Arabidopsis thaliana: one gene and its partners. The protein of the gene in region 1 interacts with the protein of each later gene in a pairwise test. Each region holds a gene or a part of one and is shown in the gene's direction. Other genes may lie near its edges. The genes, in order: MUB4, UBC9, UBC10 and UBC28.

Region 1 (4,878 bases):
TAAACCACTACCACGCTTCCAATTCTTACTTCCATGATGCTCCTCTCTCATTTTTCCAAATAGTTTTTGCCAAAATCATCTTTTAAACATGGTGGCTCTTACCATTTGATAGGAATATTCAGCATATCTTTGTGTCAAATCATTTAATGATAAGAGCACTTACCCCCAATCCGCAACGAGAATAACCAGTGCTACACATTTTGGTTAATTTTGGATCCCTAATTTTTGTCACTACATTTCTGATTACTGGGACTGGTCTTTATATTAACTGCTTGTAGATATATTACACTTCTTTACTTGTAGGATAGAGAAGATCCAATTCTTGTTCAAGCATCCATTTGAAGTTGTTTTCACTATCTTACTTCTTGAGCATTGCTTTAAATAGGACACGCCCCTGGGCCAGCGGTGGTGAAGGAGTTGCAGGGACAACATGTCATATTGAGAGACTGCATCGAACAGCTAGGGGCAATGGAGACATCCAGAACAAGTCTTATCTCACATTTGAGAGAAGCTTTACAAGAACAGGTTTACATTTATACATTTTCTTTCAAAACAACATCTTTCATTGCACCGGCCAGAAACCTCACCTTGTTTTTGTTTTTGTGTCCAGGAACTCAAGCTGGAGCAAGTCCGTAACCACCTTCAGGTTTGAATACTTACCAACAAATGTGATATTTGTTCCTCAGACATTTTATACATTTCAATTTACACAATACATCATAACGTTCTCAATAGTACTTTCCGAGACATGCTGGTCTAGCTTCAAGCTTGTTTAGTGAATTTGTTCAAGGAAGATAGACCCAAATCTAATTAGGGTTCTTGGTTGCCTTTCCAAACAGAATGTTGCCTTGTCTTTATGCTATTTAGTTGAATTGATTTCATTTGTGCTACGATTTCAGATTGCTCGGTTTCAATCAGACCGAACTGGTGATCTCTGCAGACAGCTTCTAGACCATGGTGGTAGTTCACAGCCTCCTGCTACAGAAGAAGAAGAGTCAAAAGAAGTTATCAAAGTTTCATCCACTGCAGCAGCACCACAAAGCTTCACACACAGCGATGTGGAACAATCTGCACCAGTTATGTTTGCCTCAAACCCAACTCAATCGCTGGAAGACCCAAGAAAAACTGCTGCTGCTGCAGTGGTAGCTAAGCTAACTGCTTCAACTTCCTCAGCCGAGATGCTCTCCTATGTTCTCTCCTCCTTAGCCTCCGAAGGCATCATCGGAAACAACAACCCACCTGCTGTAACAGAAACTCTATCATCCGTCGATTTCCCACCAGAGAAAAGACCTAAGCTTCAAAATCATGACCAGTCGTATCTCTCACCGCACCATCAGAACACTGCAACAACATCATCCTCCACACCCCCACAACCGCTTCCACCACCACCACCATTCCAGCTTCAACCTCAGTTTTTGCAGCCGTTACAGCCTCCCGGGCCAGTAAACCACACACCATTCAACTACACCATAGCAACCTCTACTGCAACCACTCAGCAACAACAACAAGAACAAGGTCCTTGGGTACCTGGGCTCACTCAACTTTCAACAACCTCTGCTCCATCGGAGAATTCATACCAGAAGTTTCAGGGACAAGATGGTTTCTATGGCATTAACTCATCTGTGCCTATTACACCTGTCACTCGCCAGTAGTGTAAATCTGTTCGTAGGGGTTCATATAGCAAAAAGTTCACTTTTTTTTTTGGTTTTTTTTTGTTAAATATAGTTTCAATGGGCTTTTGATAATTAGGATTTTATGTTCTTAAAATGTGCTTTGTATGCTTTCTAATTGTGCGTCTAATCCAAGGTTTCAACTCTGTAAACATATCATAAAAATCCTTTGTTTTGCTCTGAGATTTTACTATTGTTGGAAGATTCTATAGATTTTCAAATTTTCTTGTTCCTCTCTTTGAAATTTACATGGAAGTCAGATTTGGACCAAAGTGATTTGTTGCTCGTCTTTTAAAGTCTTCTGGTCAAAACGCCGACAAGGCTTTGCTTTTGACTAATAAAGAAACATACTTTTCCACAATTTTCTTGTCTTTTTATCTTATTTCCTTACTCGTCAGGGATTCCCTGTAACGCGGCAATCCTGACGAAAGACATATCAGAAACTTTGATAGAATCACATAGCAGCAATCTCTTAGCTGGATTTTACCAGCTTCACTTTGAGATTAGGTCATTTACCCTTTTAAGGGTTTCTCTCCTACTTTCTTGATTCTCTTCATTCCCAAGACTCAAAACCTAGCAAACTTGGACATTTGGATTGAGTGTCTCTAGTCCGGGTAAGATTTGTGTGTTGTGGTAACTTTATCTGACGGTTTAGGAGCTTAGGTTGCTTAGATGAGTTCCAAGTTTTTATTTTTCTTTTGCTTATTGTTCTTCTTGTTCCTTTGGTCCAAGTTCTTGATTTGGACAGTAACTGAAAATTTCCTAATTGATTCCTTTAAGTTTGACTGTGCTCTTATTACTAGTCTTCTCTAAATATTTTTGTTCTTTGCTTCGACAATTTCATTGATGCTTTGAATTTGAGAATCTCTCTGTCCTCTTATTATTATAGGTCTCATTTGGGTGGATTCTTTCTGGTGAAATCTTTCTTGTGAGAGTTTTGTATTGGGAGAAAGAGATAATCAAATGCCGGAGGAAGATTTGGTAGAACTGAAATTCCGGTTATATGACGGTTCAGATGTTGGCCCGTTTCAGTACTCTCCAACCGCCACAGTGTCAATGCTTAAGGAGAGAATTGTCTCTGAATGGCCTAAAGGTTAGCACCGAGCACAATCTTTTGGTTTGTTTTTCGGCTAATCCGTGAAAAAGAAGTAAAAATGCGATAGAAGTGCTCTTTAATGCTTTAGATTTGGCTTTAGAACGTTTGCTTCAGCCATTTTTTTTTTTCTTCAGTTTCTTCACTTGTGGCTTGATAGACAAAGTTCAGACATAAGTCATAGGATCTGATTGACTTACTAATCATTTGTCTTAAAGTAGGAACAGAAGAAGGAAGTTAAACTATTGATCTTTTAAAAGGTTACTCGATCTTGTGATCTATGTTTTAACAGTTTCTCCACTTGTGGTATAGGCTTTTGAATTGGTCTGATTGTATTACTAATCACTTGTCTTATACTACAAATCATGTCTTTAGAGACTATAGGGACGAATACTGTTCTGGTTCTTTTTAGTAGAATTTCTTGATCTTACTCTTCAGTCTTGTGCATTCAACAAAAAATTGAATTTGTCTCATTTTGTTTCCTATTGTATCTTATTGACTAATCGAATTTGGGGGTTTTGAATGTGTGTAGACAAGAAGATTGTTCCAAAATCAGCTAGTGACATCAAGTTGATAAATGCTGGTAAGATTTTGGAGAATGGTAAAACTGTTGCACAGTGTAAAGCTCCATTTGATGATCTCCCTAAATCCGTCATTACAATGCATGTTGTCGTGCAACTGTCTCCAACAAAAGCAAGACCAGGTCTTGTTCTTTCTTATCTCCGTAAATCTTGTTTGTGGAATGAATTCTTTAGCCTAATATCTTGTTTTTTCTTTCTCTTACAGAGAAAAAAATCGAAAAGGAAGAAGCCCCACAGAGAAGCTTTTGCTCATGTACCATAATGTGAGAACAACAACAAGTCCCAAGTCAAAAAATCTGAAAGAGTTAAGTTTTGATTCTCTGTGGTATTTGCTAAAAGACCATATAAACATAAACTACCGCTTCATATTCGACATTTTCTTCACAAGTTCAAAGAAACCTTCATCTATGGCGTTATAAAGCTAGTCTATTAGAGTTGTTTCTCTTGAGCTGTGATGGAAAAACTCTTGTTTGGAGCATCCTTTATAAAGATAAGAGTTTTGTTACCGCGAACTAATTCAAGTATCTCTGTAACATATCTTGTATGGTTTTGTCAATCTTTAGTACATTTTAGACCTGGTTTTTTTCTCTATCAGGATCCGCCCAAAACTGTATCCAAACATCTTTATCCAGTCCATTACCTACAGTGAAAACGAGTACTAAACGTTTGCAGTTTGGTTCTTGAGTGGCAAACACTTTGATATGTTACTATATGGTCCATACCTTTCTCATCATTTTCCACTTCCACAAAGCCAATGTTTTGGGGATGTAGGTAGATACAAACCTCCAAAAGAAACAGAGAGCATGAGATCTCAATAAATGTCCTTTCACCTAACTTATCACTGTCTCCCACTTAATTCTCTCATTTATAACCTTCACTTTCACTTAGTGTCTCTCCACTATCTTGTCTTGTTTCGCCTTTAATTCTATTCCTCTCCTCTGGCTCTCATTTATAATCTTCACTCCAAATGCACCTTTCTTTGTACTCCCATCACTTTCTCTTCGATATGGTATTTACTTTAATCCGATTCGAATATTGTAACTATGAAAAACAAAATGAATAGTAAAAATATCCGTTTCGTATCCAAGCCTATTTTTAAAAGACACGTTTGTATAACTCTCTCTATATATAGAAAGGAACCACGAAGCTCTTTCAAGAGAGTTCTATTCTTGTCTGAAAACTAGTTCCCTATATTTCTTCTTTCTTCACACACATATTCTCCAATTCTTACATAAATATCAAATAAACCAAACTTGAAACTTGTTGTGCTTAAGATGACGAAGAAATCACTGACAATGTTTCTTTTTATACTTCTGCAATTTCTGCTCGTAAACTCTCTATCTTCAAAGCATTCATCACCCAAACCAAAACCAGATGCAGAAATCACTATAATGGGTTTTGTTTACTGCGATGTTTGCTCCAAAAACAGTTTCTCTAAACACAGTTACTTCATGTCCGGTAGTAACTCAGAACAAAAAGATCTCTTTAATTAATTCCCTGCAAAAACTCTGTTTCTTAACGTTTCTTTACACAG
Region 2 (4,151 bases), on another chromosome or scaffold:
ACTTTGCAGGAGCACTTCTAGGAGCATCCATGGGGTTGAAAGAAGGACCAATATTCTTCTTTGCCATAGGGTTGGCTTATTATTTGGTTTTATTTGTGACTCTCTATCAGAGACTTCCCACGAATGAAACCTTACCTAAAGAGCTTCACCCTGTTTTCTTCCTCTTTGTGGCTGCACCAGCCGTCGCTTCCATGGCCTGGACCAAGATCTCTGCCTCTTTCGATCTCGGTTCGCGTCTAGCATACTTCATCTCCTTGTTCTTGTACTTCTCTCTGGTAGTTTTTGTTTTCATTAACAGAGTTCTAGTGAGCTAGTGCTGAGTTTCTTGTGGTACAAGAAATGTAACAGCTTTACTTCTTGTGATTCTTGTTTCAGGTTTGTCGGATTAACCTTTTCCGGGGATTCAAGTAAGCTGTTTCTTGAACTGCAAGGATCTAATTTACCAAACCAAATAACATACATGTTATCTGACATAATTATTCAAAAAATATCAGATTCTCGCTAGCTTGGTGGGCTTACACGTTTCCAATGACGGCAGTGGCCAGTGCGACGATCAAATATTCAGACGAAGTCACGGGAGTGGCAACGAAGATACTATCGGTTGTGATGTCGGGAGCAGCAACTCTGACGGTGATAGCTGTGCTTGGGTTGACGGTGATGCATGCTTTTGTCCAACGTGATCTCTTCCCCAATGACGTTGTCATTGCCATAAGTGCAGAACAACCGAAGCAGAAGAGATGGTTCAAACATCTCACAAAAGAAAGTTATGGAAATAATGAGAGATGTCCCAAGATTTTGGATCCGGAAGATAATCAAATAGATTTAGAATCTCCTCCTTTAGTAAATGTAGATAGTTCCACGGTTCAGAATTCAAATTAACAAAAAAAAAAAATGTGATGAAAATTCATGATCTTTGTTAATTAACTTCTCATGTACAACACTATAGCAGTGCTAATAATAATAAATTAGCGAAAATCTTAATTATTTTGGTAAATTTTAGTTGCATACCATTCTTTTTACTGATCATGATAAATTACTTCTTCATTTCAGCAAAAATATAAAAACTATAATCACTTTGGCTTATTCTTTCGTTAGATTTAGTTATTATAGTATTGTTTGATTCAATTCAAGTAAAAACTATTTGAGTTATAGGCAAACTTAGTCACACCAACCGCAACCTTCACAATTTGTCTTAACAAGTTAGATCATATTTCGTGGAAATAATGTCTAGCTTAACATCTAATTTGTCGAATATATCTTAATGTCACTGTTATGTTAATTCATCCTCCATCTTTATACTTTGTCACCAAAACGAATCGTCTTGTCACATATGACATATGACAGTAAAAACAATGTAATAATTTCCTACACATCACGTTTTTGAAAAAAAACATCCTTCATCAACCGCTGGTCAATCTTGAAAGCATGGTAAATTCATTCAAATTACGTCAAATGATTCGTTCTACAAAACTCTCAGCCGTCGGATCATACGACTTTTGACTAAACCACTTAAACGACGACGCTTCGACGGGATTGGAAAACATCGGCGCCACATGATGATGATACGAACAACCGCGTTATTTTATATGTGCCGTAGGTACAACGCTGAGTTAGGCCCACCCAAAAAAAAGTTTGACATTATTTAAAACGAACGAATCTGAAAGAATAAAGCAGCAGAGTCCACTAATCAAACGAACCAGAATTTACCCGCACCCTATTTATTGTGGTCGCGACCACACAACATTTTCAACTTCTTCTTCTCTTCCGTTTCACCACCCTTTCTTCTCCTAAATTCGAAGAACCAAAACCAAAAACGTGAATTCGGAGTTATGATTTTGGATCTTCTTCCCGTCTTTATATATAATTTTCTGGGTTATGTTTTTCTTCTTCTTAATTCATCTGACCATTGGATTGGTTTTCGATTGCAGAGTCTTCAATTGGAATTTGGATCGTGGGATTTTGGAAATGGCATCGAAACGGATTTTGAAGGAATTGAAGGATCTGCAGAAGGATCCTCCTACTTCATGTAGCGCAGGTACCTATTCTTTTAGTCGATTTATCAACTTTGATTCAATAATTATGTTCCTCTTGCTGGATAATGATGGGTCGTTGGTTTTGATCTTCTTTTGAGCTGGTTTTTTATGTGTGCGACGGTTTGATATTGATCTCTCGTTAGCTTAGATCTAATTATCCTTGATTTTTAGGTAATTCAGCTGCTAATAACAGAAATTTGCATACTTCATGGTAACACTTGTTTGTGATTTTTCTAGGAATGAATCATAAAGGTCAATGTTCAAACTTGTTTGCTCGTTGATAGATCTGGTTTCATTTTTTGATTTCCTTGGATGAGATCTTAGGATTATAACTCTGTTGTTCTCTTCTAATTTTGCCCCTTTTACCAACTTCTTCTTATATGCATGTTGTTGCTTTTCTGGTTTGGTATTGAAGTTTTGGTTAAATGTTGACAGGACCCGTTGCGGAAGACATGTTTCATTGGCAGGCCACTATAATGGGTCCATCGGATAGCCCTTATTCTGGAGGAGTTTTTCTTGTAACCATCCATTTCCCTCCAGATTACCCATTTAAGCCTCCTAAGGTATATTCAAATCTCTACAGCTGCTTCTTCTTCTTTGAATTTTTTTTCCAACTTTACTTCGGCCATCATTTTTCTGTTGCTAATATCTTCCATCGTTTATCTATTGTTCTTTTCTCTGTGTTCTTGATTTCATTGCTCTCTATGTATGTTGTTACAAAAAATGTAGGTGGCTTTTAGGACGAAGGTGTTCCATCCAAACATTAACAGCAATGGAAGCATCTGCCTCGACATCTTGAAGGAGCAGTGGAGTCCTGCTCTCACAATTTCCAAGGTTTTCTTTTGTTCTTCCTCATCTTTATCATATTAGAACCATAATTTTGCAGCTTTGCTCTCCAGGTGACATCAATTTTGTGTGGTGCAACAGGTGCTGCTATCGATCTGTTCTTTGTTAACGGATCCAAACCCAGATGATCCTTTGGTCCCTGAGATAGCTCACATGTACAAGACAGACAAGAACAAGTACGAGTCCACTGCTCGGACCTGGACCCAAAAGTATGCCATGGGCTGACACAAATACTGTCCTTAAGGAAGAGCCCTAATAATTAAACTCTTCTTATTTCTATGTAATGATCTTTTATAGACTTGTCTGTCTTATAAAATTTGTGAAGACAGGATCAGTAAGAAATTATTTGATCTCCATTCTATGGAATTGTAAAACGTAAATCATCATCCCGTCTGCTGTTTCTTTATTGCGTGATGCCGATGCGTCTCTGTGTTTATCAAGGCTCATATTATTTTGGATTTTATTCTGTCCAAAGCCCAAACTAGCTACAATCGTAAGCCTTTCCGTTTTCGTAAACATTATTAACTTACATACGTAACATTTTCATTTTAGTATTATGTGGGCAATGATTTATGTAAATGGTGTATGGGGCCTAAGAGTGAAGTTGTTCATGAGTTAAGATTGTGATTGTGATCCATCTGGAACAATTTAATAAAATGGGACAAAGGAATTATCACTTTGAAGTTTGACCAATTTAAGATTTACAAAAAATAGTAAAACTATTAAAATCACCTTTTCCCCAAATAATATACTCAAACGGGTTTAGCCATTAGTGCTACTAAACATTATGGTATAAAGACCTTGAAAAAACGGTTACTTTTTTATGGTATAACCCAACTATTATGACACTTTTGTGTTCAAGGTTCTGTTTCAGTGATGGAGTATAGTATATTTTAACATAATGTTTATCCCACGAATTAGATTCCTCTTCGATGGACACATGTTGTTGTTAAGGTTGGGAGCTTATGAGGTTGGCGAGGTTTAAAGCAGTAATCAGGGCTTATTATGTTGAGATTAAGGTTATGATTTTATAATTTCACGTTAGTTTGTTGACGATTTATAAAAAAAAAATGTTATGAATGCATATTTTGCTTAATGAAAGTGCTAGTGGACGCTTGATCAATTCATGTTAATCTTTAAAACTCTTTATCTTAAGATTCAAATCAAAGTTTATTTTCTTTCTCGAAACTCCAACACTTGTATTTCTATATATTTTGAGTTTTGGGTTTACCGAGGCTTCCAAGTCCATTCGAATAAGTTTTTAAATGTGTG
Region 3 (4,466 bases), on another chromosome or scaffold:
CTAATGAGGCAGATGCATTGTACTCAAATCTGGAATGAACACAAGGAGAAACCATTATCAGTATAAAACACAAACTGCACATATAAACCAATAGCTGAGTTTTACGATATGGGAGATATACAAAATGTTTCTACGGACTATTATCGTGATTGCCATTTGAGAACAGTTTCAATCAAAACTAGAATATGTCATCTAACAGTATTTAAAATATAGTTGTAACCATTTGTATCTCAACGTACTAATTTCAGTAGTTATCTCCTAAAAGTGTTAATTCTTTATCTTCTTCCATAAATATAGATATGATTAATAGGTACAAGTGGATCCTCTGGTCTCACCACTAACTAATAGCCAAGTCACTTAAGAAACAGAGCTCACTAAGTTTCAGAGACTAAAAAGACCCACATCAGTTCTCAGTAACACAATACCTGTAGTGTCAATATCAGGAAATGAGATGAAAATAAACAATTCTCATGTGCATGGTATTAGCATTCAAAGAGGAGACATCAAAAACCAAAAATTGCGGTCATAGTTACCTGTTAGAGAGAAGCACTTCAAGTTCATAGTCAGAAGCACTTTTAGTGACATCTACCATGACCTGAACAAGCTCAGTCTTCCTAGTGCTGGCCATGAAGAGATCATATTCCGTGGGAATAATGATAGCGAAGAAGTTATCACTCAATTTGCTTAAACACATCTTCTCTACTGATGACAAAGCAATTCTCCTGGTCATAGCTTCAGTCTCGGGATCAATTAGATAGATCGCAAAATCAGTGAGGATAAAAATACGCCGTTTCATCTTCCCCGAGCCGGTGAACTTCAAAACTTTATCAGCAAAAAGAATCGATGTATCACCTATAACAACAATGAATCACCTTCTCAACATCAAACACATGCAATTCAAGGTGAATCCAATCATTAGCAATCCAAACAACCACATAAGAAACTATAAATCGATGCCACAATTCTACAGCTGATTCAACTATTCCTCCAAGTTCTTCGATTCACAAATTGCCTCTCAATCTCAAATTCATCAAATAAAAACCAAAAGTTTGGAGAAACCTAACCTTGTTTCTCCAGAATTCGCATCAATCCAGGACGAGAAGAAACGTGAAGATAGTCACCACGATGCTCTCTATAGCGAGACGCTTTCCTTCTGACTTTACCTCCAGCGAATGGCGTGTGATCTCCTCCGTCTACCTCACCCACACTTCGATCTTCATCAAAATCAGGTGGAGGTGATTCTTCGCCGTCGAACTTCGGCCCCTTTTGCTCCTTCAACCGGTTCATTCCTCCCGGCGACGAACTCGAAATCGGAATCGGTTAGCTTATTCTCAGATTCTGCGTTAGAAAAATCTCCAAAGTGAGAGAGAAGACGTGGCTTCAAATGATTCGATCGATTAAAAGATACAAATCTCAGCCGTTAGATTATATGACTTCATCGCAACGCGTTTCGATGCCACTTGATTTGAAATTTATAATAAACTCGCAGCCGTTAGATTTCAATACCACTTGATTTAAGGATAGGATATCAACCGTTAGATTAGATGACTTTTTAAGACGATGTCGTTTCAATGCAACTTGATGTTTTAATTAAGAAGCGCCGCGTCGTTTCAAGGTCCACCGAATAATAAGAGGGTTAAAAGTAGAGTCCACTAGTCAAAGAAAGTAAATAATCCACACGGTATTTATTGTAGACGTGAGCACAGAGAATAATTCGTATTCTTCGTCTTTCGTCCACCACCATCTCTATTTTCTTCCTTTCCCCTAAGTCTTGGTTCTTCTTCTCTCTAATACGAGAAGAAAAAGGCGAAAACCTCGCCAATCCGATTACGCGAAAAATCAAAGGTATTGTCTCTGTAGCTTTTGGATCTATTACTTATATTTCTCACGGATTTATAGCTTCTCTGATTCGTTTAGAATCTTTGTTTGATTTTTGATTTTTAGGTTTTTGGATATGGCGTCGAAGCGGATCTTGAAGGAATTGAAGGATCTCCAGAAGGATCCACCTACATCATGTAGCGCAGGTACTTGTTTCGTGTTTGGATTTTGAGATTTCATCTTAAAAAGTTTTGTTTCCCTGAGCTGGTGTTGATAGATCCGGTTTTTTTGTTCGCTTATGCTTGGATTTGTTTGGATTTGTGTGTTTATGTGTTGTTTGGTACCGATCTCGAGCTAAGTACTCGTTTTACTTTTTAAGATCTGGCTAGAACTAAATTTGGTTTATCTCGTTTCTGATTTCTCTGGTGAAGATCTTATAAAGGCTTAAAACTCGTTTCATTGTCTTAGTTTCTGGGGTCTGGTTATACTTGTGAAGAAAAAACTGTCTCTTTGTTTCCTTGTGCTTATGTGGTGTGAGATTGAGTTTATCTTTCTGTGTACAGGTCCTGTTGCTGAAGACATGTTTCACTGGCAGGCAACGATAATGGGTCCTTCAGAGAGTCCTTATGCTGGAGGTGTTTTCCTTGTAACCATCCATTTCCCTCCGGATTACCCATTCAAGCCTCCTAAGGTGATTCCAATATTTTGAGAATTGTTATCAAGTATGTTTTGCCAAAGCTCGTATGTTCTTTATGGTTGCTTCATTATCTCATTGTTCTTCATTATGGTGTGTGTGATGATATCTAGGTGGCCTTTAGGACCAAGGTGTTCCATCCCAACATTAACAGCAACGGTAGCATTTGCCTCGACATCTTGAAGGAGCAGTGGAGTCCTGCGCTCACCATTTCCAAGGTTCGGTTTCTCTTATTCTTTTGTTAACAATAGAAACCCACCTTAAAACAAATACTCTCTATTAAAACTGCTTCAGAGGCAGTAATCTACTCTTATCAAACATGCTTTTGCTCCTTAATCCCTAGTTGAAGTGATAAGATTGAGCTGTCTTCATTAAACTTTGACTCATTTCGGTTGTCTCTGAAACATTAAGCTTATTAGACTCATTGAGGATGAAAAATTGTTGTTTGTTATCGATCAGTTCTAACAACTGCTTTGCAATTAACAGGTGCTGCTATCGATCTGTTCTTTGTTAACCGATCCAAACCCGGATGATCCTTTGGTGCCCGAGATAGCTCACATGTACAAGACTGACAAGAACAAGTACGAGTCCACTGCACGAAGCTGGACTCAGAAGTATGCCATGGGCTAAATGGAAAATCCCACCTACTAAATTATCTCTTTATGAAGAAAAAAATCTGCCTTAATTTCTATGTATGATTCGATAGACATCTCTTTGTGTCCTTTTAACTTTCTGAAGACAGGACCAAATGAAGTGGGTCTTGTTTTAAACGAAACAAAAAAAAACATCATCTTTGTGAAAACTAGAATCTGATCATCTTCTGTTGTTTCTTCTTGTGGTGAAATTATGATTTGATGTTTTCGTTGTGTGATGAGTTGCTACGAGTTGTTCAAATTTATCAAACTAGTCTTCAAACTTATCCAACTGGTCTTCAAACTTATCCAACTGGTCTTCAAATTTACTCTGAGTTAATCGTTGTGGCCAATGCCCGTCATGGTGACAATGCGTTCTGTTGTAGCACGTATGTTGTAGAAAATGAGTTTTGTACCTTGCAAGGTGCGCCTGTGGATTGTGGACTACATACGTGATGCAACAAACATTTTAAGTATGCAATAATATCACAAACAATCCTATATCCATTAAACGACATGTATTATGCATGTTTGAACTCAAGTAGTAACTCAGCAATGATTCACTAGTACAAAACCACTAAACACCCTATTTTGTTTATAAGTTATAACAGTTTTCTTATTCGTATCATCCATCATATCATGAGTTTGACGAAAACATGTTATTTGGTGAAGTCAAATTATTTGACAATACAGTATTTAATAAAATAATAAATAGCCTGATTATGTGGAATGTGAGTGGTATAGAATCAACAGAAAAAAAAAAAAGAGTGGTATAGAATCTAATACTACAGATAATCTATAGATGAATGGGTATGGACTGAACTCAAGTTATGTAGATGGGCTTCGATGGACCAAAGATCCATCGCTCGTCCGAGCTTAAAGTATCACCCCTAACAAATTATCTTTACAAGTCCACAGGTAAGAGAAAAATACATTTAATAGTGTTGTGCTATTAGAATATTTTTGAATTTCTCTTCTCTATAAGAAAATACAGTATGTTACTATCTTTTTTTCAAAATTTATCATTATCCCACGGATCAGTGTATTAGAAGAGTATCAGTTTGAACTTAGAAATGATAACCAACAGGCAAAACTTACTCTAGTTAAGAGCAAAAGACCAAATTAAACATCTGCTTTAAGTTTAACAAAATAAGAAATCATAGGGACTATAGGTTTGATTTAGATATCCATGAAACTTGTAGGCTAAGAACTCTAGACATTCAAACGCAAAATTCAAACAATTGGTGTCGACTGAAAGAAATAAAATAAAAATCAGTGTTCCATGTTTTTTGGTTTAGTTAAGATAGGTGTTCCATATTCCA
Region 4 (4,310 bases), on another chromosome or scaffold:
TGTCTGCAGCTTGCGTTTTGTGTGTTTCCGGATTATCATTCATAATGATCACTTGTTTCGGGAAGACTAGAATCTCCGGGAAGTTGCGAAAGAGAGACTCGTCTTCTCCTCCAGGAAACTGGACATCTAGAGATGATAACACTGAAGAAGGCGGGAAGATCATCTTCTTTGGTGGAAGAAACCACTTATTTGATTTAGATGATTTGCTAAGCTCATCTGCAGAAGTTTTGGGGAAGGGTGCTTTTGGTACAACCTATAAGGTAACAATGGAGGACATGAGCACGGTCGTTGTAAAACGATTGAAGGAAGTTGTCGTTGGAAGACGAGAGTTTGAGCAACAAATGGAGATCATTGGTATGATCAGACATGAAAATGTAGCTGAGCTAAAGGCTTACTACTACTCCAAAGACGATAAGCTCGCGGTTTATAGCTATTACAATCATGGAAGCCTCTTCGAAATACTGCACGGTTAGTTATTTTCATTGCTCTCATTCTGATGATAAATCGAAACTACAAGGTTCCATTTTCTTTGCAGGAAACAGAGGAAGGTATCATCGAGTACCGTTAGATTGGGATGCTAGACTGCGAATAGCAACCGGTGCAGCGAGAGGGCTAGCTAAAATCCACGAAGGGAAGTTCATACATGGAAACATCAAATCCTCAAACATCTTCTTAGACTCACAATGCTATGGCTGCATAGGCGATGTTGGCTTGACGACAATCATGAGATCACTTCCTCAAACCACTTGCCTTACTTCTGGCTACCATGCACCTGAAATAACAGACACAAGAAGAAGCACACAGTTTTCGGATGTATACAGCTTCGGTGTGGTATTACTGGAGCTCTTGACAGGGAAATCACCAGTGAGTCAAGCAGAATTAGTACCAACAGGAGGTGAGAACATGGACTTAGCTAGCTGGATAAGATCTGTGGTGGCTAAAGAGTGGACTGGAGAAGTGTTTGATATGGAGATATTGAGTCAATCAGGTGGTTTCGAGGAGGAGATGGTTGAGATGTTGCAAATAGGATTGGCTTGTGTTGCTCTGAAGCAACAAGAAAGACCTCATATAGCTCAAGTTTTGAAATTGATTGAAGATATTCGATCAGTTGATGCAGAGTGAGACAACACAAACTAGTAGTAGTAACCATTAAAGCAAATTCTTTGTTTCTTCATAGATCATTTGATTTTATTGAATTTGAATCATGCAAAAAAGAATGAGACTTTGAATTATAGAATCAGAAACAAATATAAATCCATTTCATAAAACGAAGAAAACAGAACAAATTTGGGAAAAAAAGTAAAAGCATCTAAGAAGAACATTACGAAGAAGATCCAATTTGTGGATTAAACGGGAGAGAGGAGGTGAAAAAGATGAGGTTTAGGATCTGAGTTCATGCCGATGATGATGATCAGAGGGATGAAACCATAGTGAGTCGCGACTTTGGCTTTCTGTAATGACCAGTTGGTCCAATCCTTGAAGACCTTGTACTTTGATGATGCAGAGGAGGACGAAGATGATGATGATCCCTTTGATGGTTTTGCTTTGCCTTTGATCTTCAACGTACTTTTAGCCGCCATTGATTCTGATCTCAGAACTCTCTCTCTCTCTCTCTGCTTATCTCTGTGTCAGAGTCGATTTAGCTGGAAGACAAAAACCCTAAAGGGTTTAAGCACCTTTTTAAAGCCTCTATGAAACACTCTGTCTAACTCAGAGGGTCCTTTATTTTTTATTAAAAGTATGTTTATCCAATAATGATTCTCTGGCTCGCTGGAAAATAGCTGTCATTATTTATATTTGAAGCATACATAAATAAAATTTCTCTCTCTTTGTTTATTCGTTAGGTCTCAAAGGCTCTCTCTGTCTCTTTCTCAAAAATCATCTGCAGGAAGTGAATCGTCAAAACCGAGTTTGGAGGATCTGTCTTGAGGTAAAAAAGCTCAATCCTTTATCGGAAATTTTCAACCTTTGCTTTTCCTTTGTTTGTTGCGTTGCTGAATCTATCTAGGGTTTGGTTTTTTGGATCTAGGAGTTTTTTTTTGGTTGAGAAATGGCTTCGAAAAGGATCTTGAAAGAGCTCAAGGATCTCCAGAAGGATCCTCCAACTTCCTGCAGTGCTGGTTAGTCTTTACCTCTCCTCTCGTAAATCGTGTCTGATCTATTTTTGAGCTTTGTTGTTAGATCTTATAATCTTATCTTTAAGCAAACAAAAAAATGAAATCTTTTTTAGTCTTCGTAATTTTATAACGAAGTTATCTAGAGATCTTGAGGTGGTAATTGCCGCTAAGTTATGATCTTAGTTTAGAAGATACCAATTGAAAGTTGAGATTTTTCTTAGAACAGAACAAATTTATGGCTGTACTGATCCTTGATTGAAAATTACAGCTTTCTAATAATCATAGTCTAGAAGATAGCTGTTAAAAATTGGGATCCATTTACCCATCCTGGATACTATTGATCATAATTAATAAGATAACAGTTGGAAGTTGAGATTTTTCTTAGAACAAAGTTGAGATTGGTCGTTGCAGTTATCTTATGATCATAGTCTAGGAAATAGCTATTGAAAGTTGTGAATTTTCTTAGAATTAAGCTTTTGGTGTTGTATGCTGCCTTGTTTATCCAAGTATCCATAACGGATCTTACAGACTTGATACCTCGCACTGATAGTCTTTCTTAGTTATCTATTGCATTCAGGTTTATACATGTTTGTTTTGTTTATTAAAATATATGATAAGTGGATAATGCGTCGAAATTGTTGGTCTTAATAGAGTTAGAGGATTGTTGTCGGAGATTCTCAAACTGTTCATGCATTCTTCTGCTAGAGAAGTCTCAGGACATTGCTATGGCACATGTTTTGTTGTGTGTATTTCAGTAAATGCCATAGATCATCATGTTTAAAAGACTAATCTTTCTATTTTTTCCTTCTATGAACAATTGTGAAATCTTCAAGGCCCAGTTGCTGAAGACATGTTTCATTGGCAAGCTACAATAATGGGTCCATCTGATAGTCCTTATTCAGGCGGTGTCTTTCTCGTAACCATTCACTTCCCTCCGGATTATCCTTTCAAACCACCAAAGGTAAATTATTCATTGTTACCAAACTGAAATCATGAACTGGAATTCAAAATGCTCTTTTTCTTGCAGGTTGCATTCAGGACAAAAGTGTTCCACCCTAATGTCAACAGCAATGGAAGCATTTGCCTTGACATTTTGAAAGAACAATGGAGTCCTGCACTCACCATATCGAAGGTGAAAAAGCACTCTTTAACCAATAGCAGTGGATGATATATAATGAATCTCCTCTTATTTTAATCAAATCTCTTGTGAATTTATAGGTTTTGCTTTCGATATGTTCATTGTTAACGGACCCAAACCCAGATGATCCATTGGTTCCAGAGATTGCTCACATGTACAAAACCGATAGAGCAAAGTATGAGTCTACTGCGAGAAGCTGGACTCAGAAATATGCAATGGGATGAAAGTTTGTGTCCTTTGATCCCTCACAGACTCGGTTTTAATAGAGAGAGAGAGAGAAAGAGAGAGGACTTCTTCACATAGGGATCTTCCATGAAATAAGTTAGATTCCTATGTTTTATCATCTCTTTGTTTGAAACCTCTTTAATCTCAAACAAAAACATTACTTCACCTCTTTATTATCCATATGTTCCCTATCTTTGTTTCTATGCTTTTTCCAAAAAATTATAAGAAAAATTATTTATGTAAAGCTGGAAACTTTGAGCTTTTACCTAACAAAGTATGACGATGATTAAATGGGAACATTTGACATTTGCTACCAAATTTTCAAAATTCCGTGTTTGAGAAAATATTGAAATAAAACCATTTTTGCAGAAAAATAAAATAAAAATTGCATGATTTTGAAGATGTTGATTAACATATTAATTCGAAATTTACCCTTGTATGAAATGCAAAGTGATAAATTTACCCTACAGAAAATTTTCTCCACCTTTATCATTTCCCTTGCTTGTAAGGGATCAATGATTCCATATGTGCATTAATTTAAAAATACCTCAAATCAAAGAATAAAGGTACACTTTATCTACCATTGAATTAAGTTACCTCATTATGAAATGGAAAGCGAAATCAAAAGGCATATTATTACGAAACAATAAACTGTAGATTTATTGGTTAGCTAGATCATCCAACTTTTCATTCAATCTGAATTTTCATTTAATTTATGATGATTTGAATGTAAAATCTGTAAATCATGGTGTATTATTATTAACCAATGAAATATTCTAAATACTGAAAATAATTCATGTAGTGATTTAGCCAATCATTTAGGCTATATT

Evidence for each region.
Region 2: the proteins of MUB4 (region 1) and UBC9 interact in a two-hybrid assay, tested with the Arabidopsis thaliana proteins (one study listed by BioGRID).
Region 3: the proteins of MUB4 (region 1) and UBC10 interact in a two-hybrid assay, tested with the Arabidopsis thaliana proteins (one study listed by BioGRID).
Region 4: the proteins of MUB4 (region 1) and UBC28 interact in a two-hybrid assay, tested with the Arabidopsis thaliana proteins (one study listed by BioGRID).

Annotation. Positions count from the first base shown.
Region 1 is NC_003074.8:9,945,200-9,950,077, reverse strand, and holds MUB4 (membrane-anchored ubiquitin-fold protein 4 precursor), read left to right. Parts: upstream 1-1,993; 5' UTR 1,994-2,284; intron 2,285-2,559; 5' UTR 2,560-2,633; coding exon 2,634-2,763; intron 2,764-3,295; coding exon 3,296-3,466; intron 3,467-3,549; coding exon 3,550-3,611; 3' UTR 3,612-4,322; downstream 4,323-4,878. Other genes in the region: AT3G26990 (ENTH/VHS family protein), read left to right, coding at 386-525, 611-646, 900-1,652; AT3G26960 (Pollen Ole e 1 allergen and extensin family protein), read left to right, coding at 4,619-4,802. UniProt on the Arabidopsis thaliana protein: May serve as docking site to facilitate the association of other proteins to the plasma membrane.
Region 2 is NC_003075.7:13,915,018-13,919,168, reverse strand, and holds UBC9 (ubiquitin conjugating enzyme 9), read left to right. Parts: upstream 1-1,668; 5' UTR 1,669-1,875; coding exon 1,876-2,035; intron 2,036-2,468; coding exon 2,469-2,596; intron 2,597-2,762; coding exon 2,763-2,867; intron 2,868-2,960; coding exon 2,961-3,104; 3' UTR 3,105-3,638; downstream 3,639-4,151. Other genes in the region: SLAH2 (SLAC1 homologue 2), read left to right, coding at 1-275, 376-407, 495-879. UniProt on the Arabidopsis thaliana protein: Accepts the ubiquitin-like protein SUMO/SMT3 from the E1 complex and catalyzes its covalent attachment to other proteins. Mediates the selective degradation of short-lived and abnormal proteins.
Region 3 is NC_003076.8:21,631,478-21,635,943, reverse strand, and holds UBC10 (ubiquitin-conjugating enzyme 10), read left to right. Parts: upstream 1-1,696; 5' UTR 1,697-1,845; intron 1,846-1,917; exon of another isoform or gene 1,918-1,944; 5' UTR 1,945-1,954; coding exon 1,955-2,024; intron 2,025-2,381; coding exon 2,382-2,509; intron 2,510-2,625; coding exon 2,626-2,730; coding exon of another isoform or gene 2,731-2,757; exon of another isoform or gene 2,758-2,998; coding exon 2,999-3,142; 3' UTR 3,143-3,377; exon of another isoform or gene 3,378-3,496; intron 3,497-3,897; 3' UTR 3,898-3,923; downstream 3,924-4,466. Other genes in the region: AT5G53310 (myosin heavy chain-like protein), read right to left, coding at 1-29, 534-852, 1,065-1,287. UniProt on the Arabidopsis thaliana protein: Accepts the ubiquitin from the E1 complex and catalyzes its covalent attachment to other proteins. Mediates the selective degradation of short-lived and abnormal proteins.
Region 4 is NC_003070.9:23,831,742-23,836,051, forward strand, and holds UBC28 (ubiquitin-conjugating enzyme 28), read left to right. Parts: upstream 1-1,809; 5' UTR 1,810-1,930; intron 1,931-2,008; 5' UTR 2,009-2,050; coding exon 2,051-2,120; intron 2,121-2,735; coding exon 2,736-2,861; intron 2,862-2,950; coding exon 2,951-3,078; intron 3,079-3,144; coding exon 3,145-3,249; intron 3,250-3,335; coding exon 3,336-3,479; 3' UTR 3,480-3,795; downstream 3,796-4,310. Other genes in the region: AT1G64210 (Leucine-rich repeat protein kinase family protein), read left to right, coding at 1-468, 536-1,122; TOM7-2 (translocase of outer membrane 7 kDa subunit 2), read right to left, coding at 1,347-1,580. UniProt on the Arabidopsis thaliana protein: Accepts the ubiquitin from the E1 complex and catalyzes its covalent attachment to other proteins.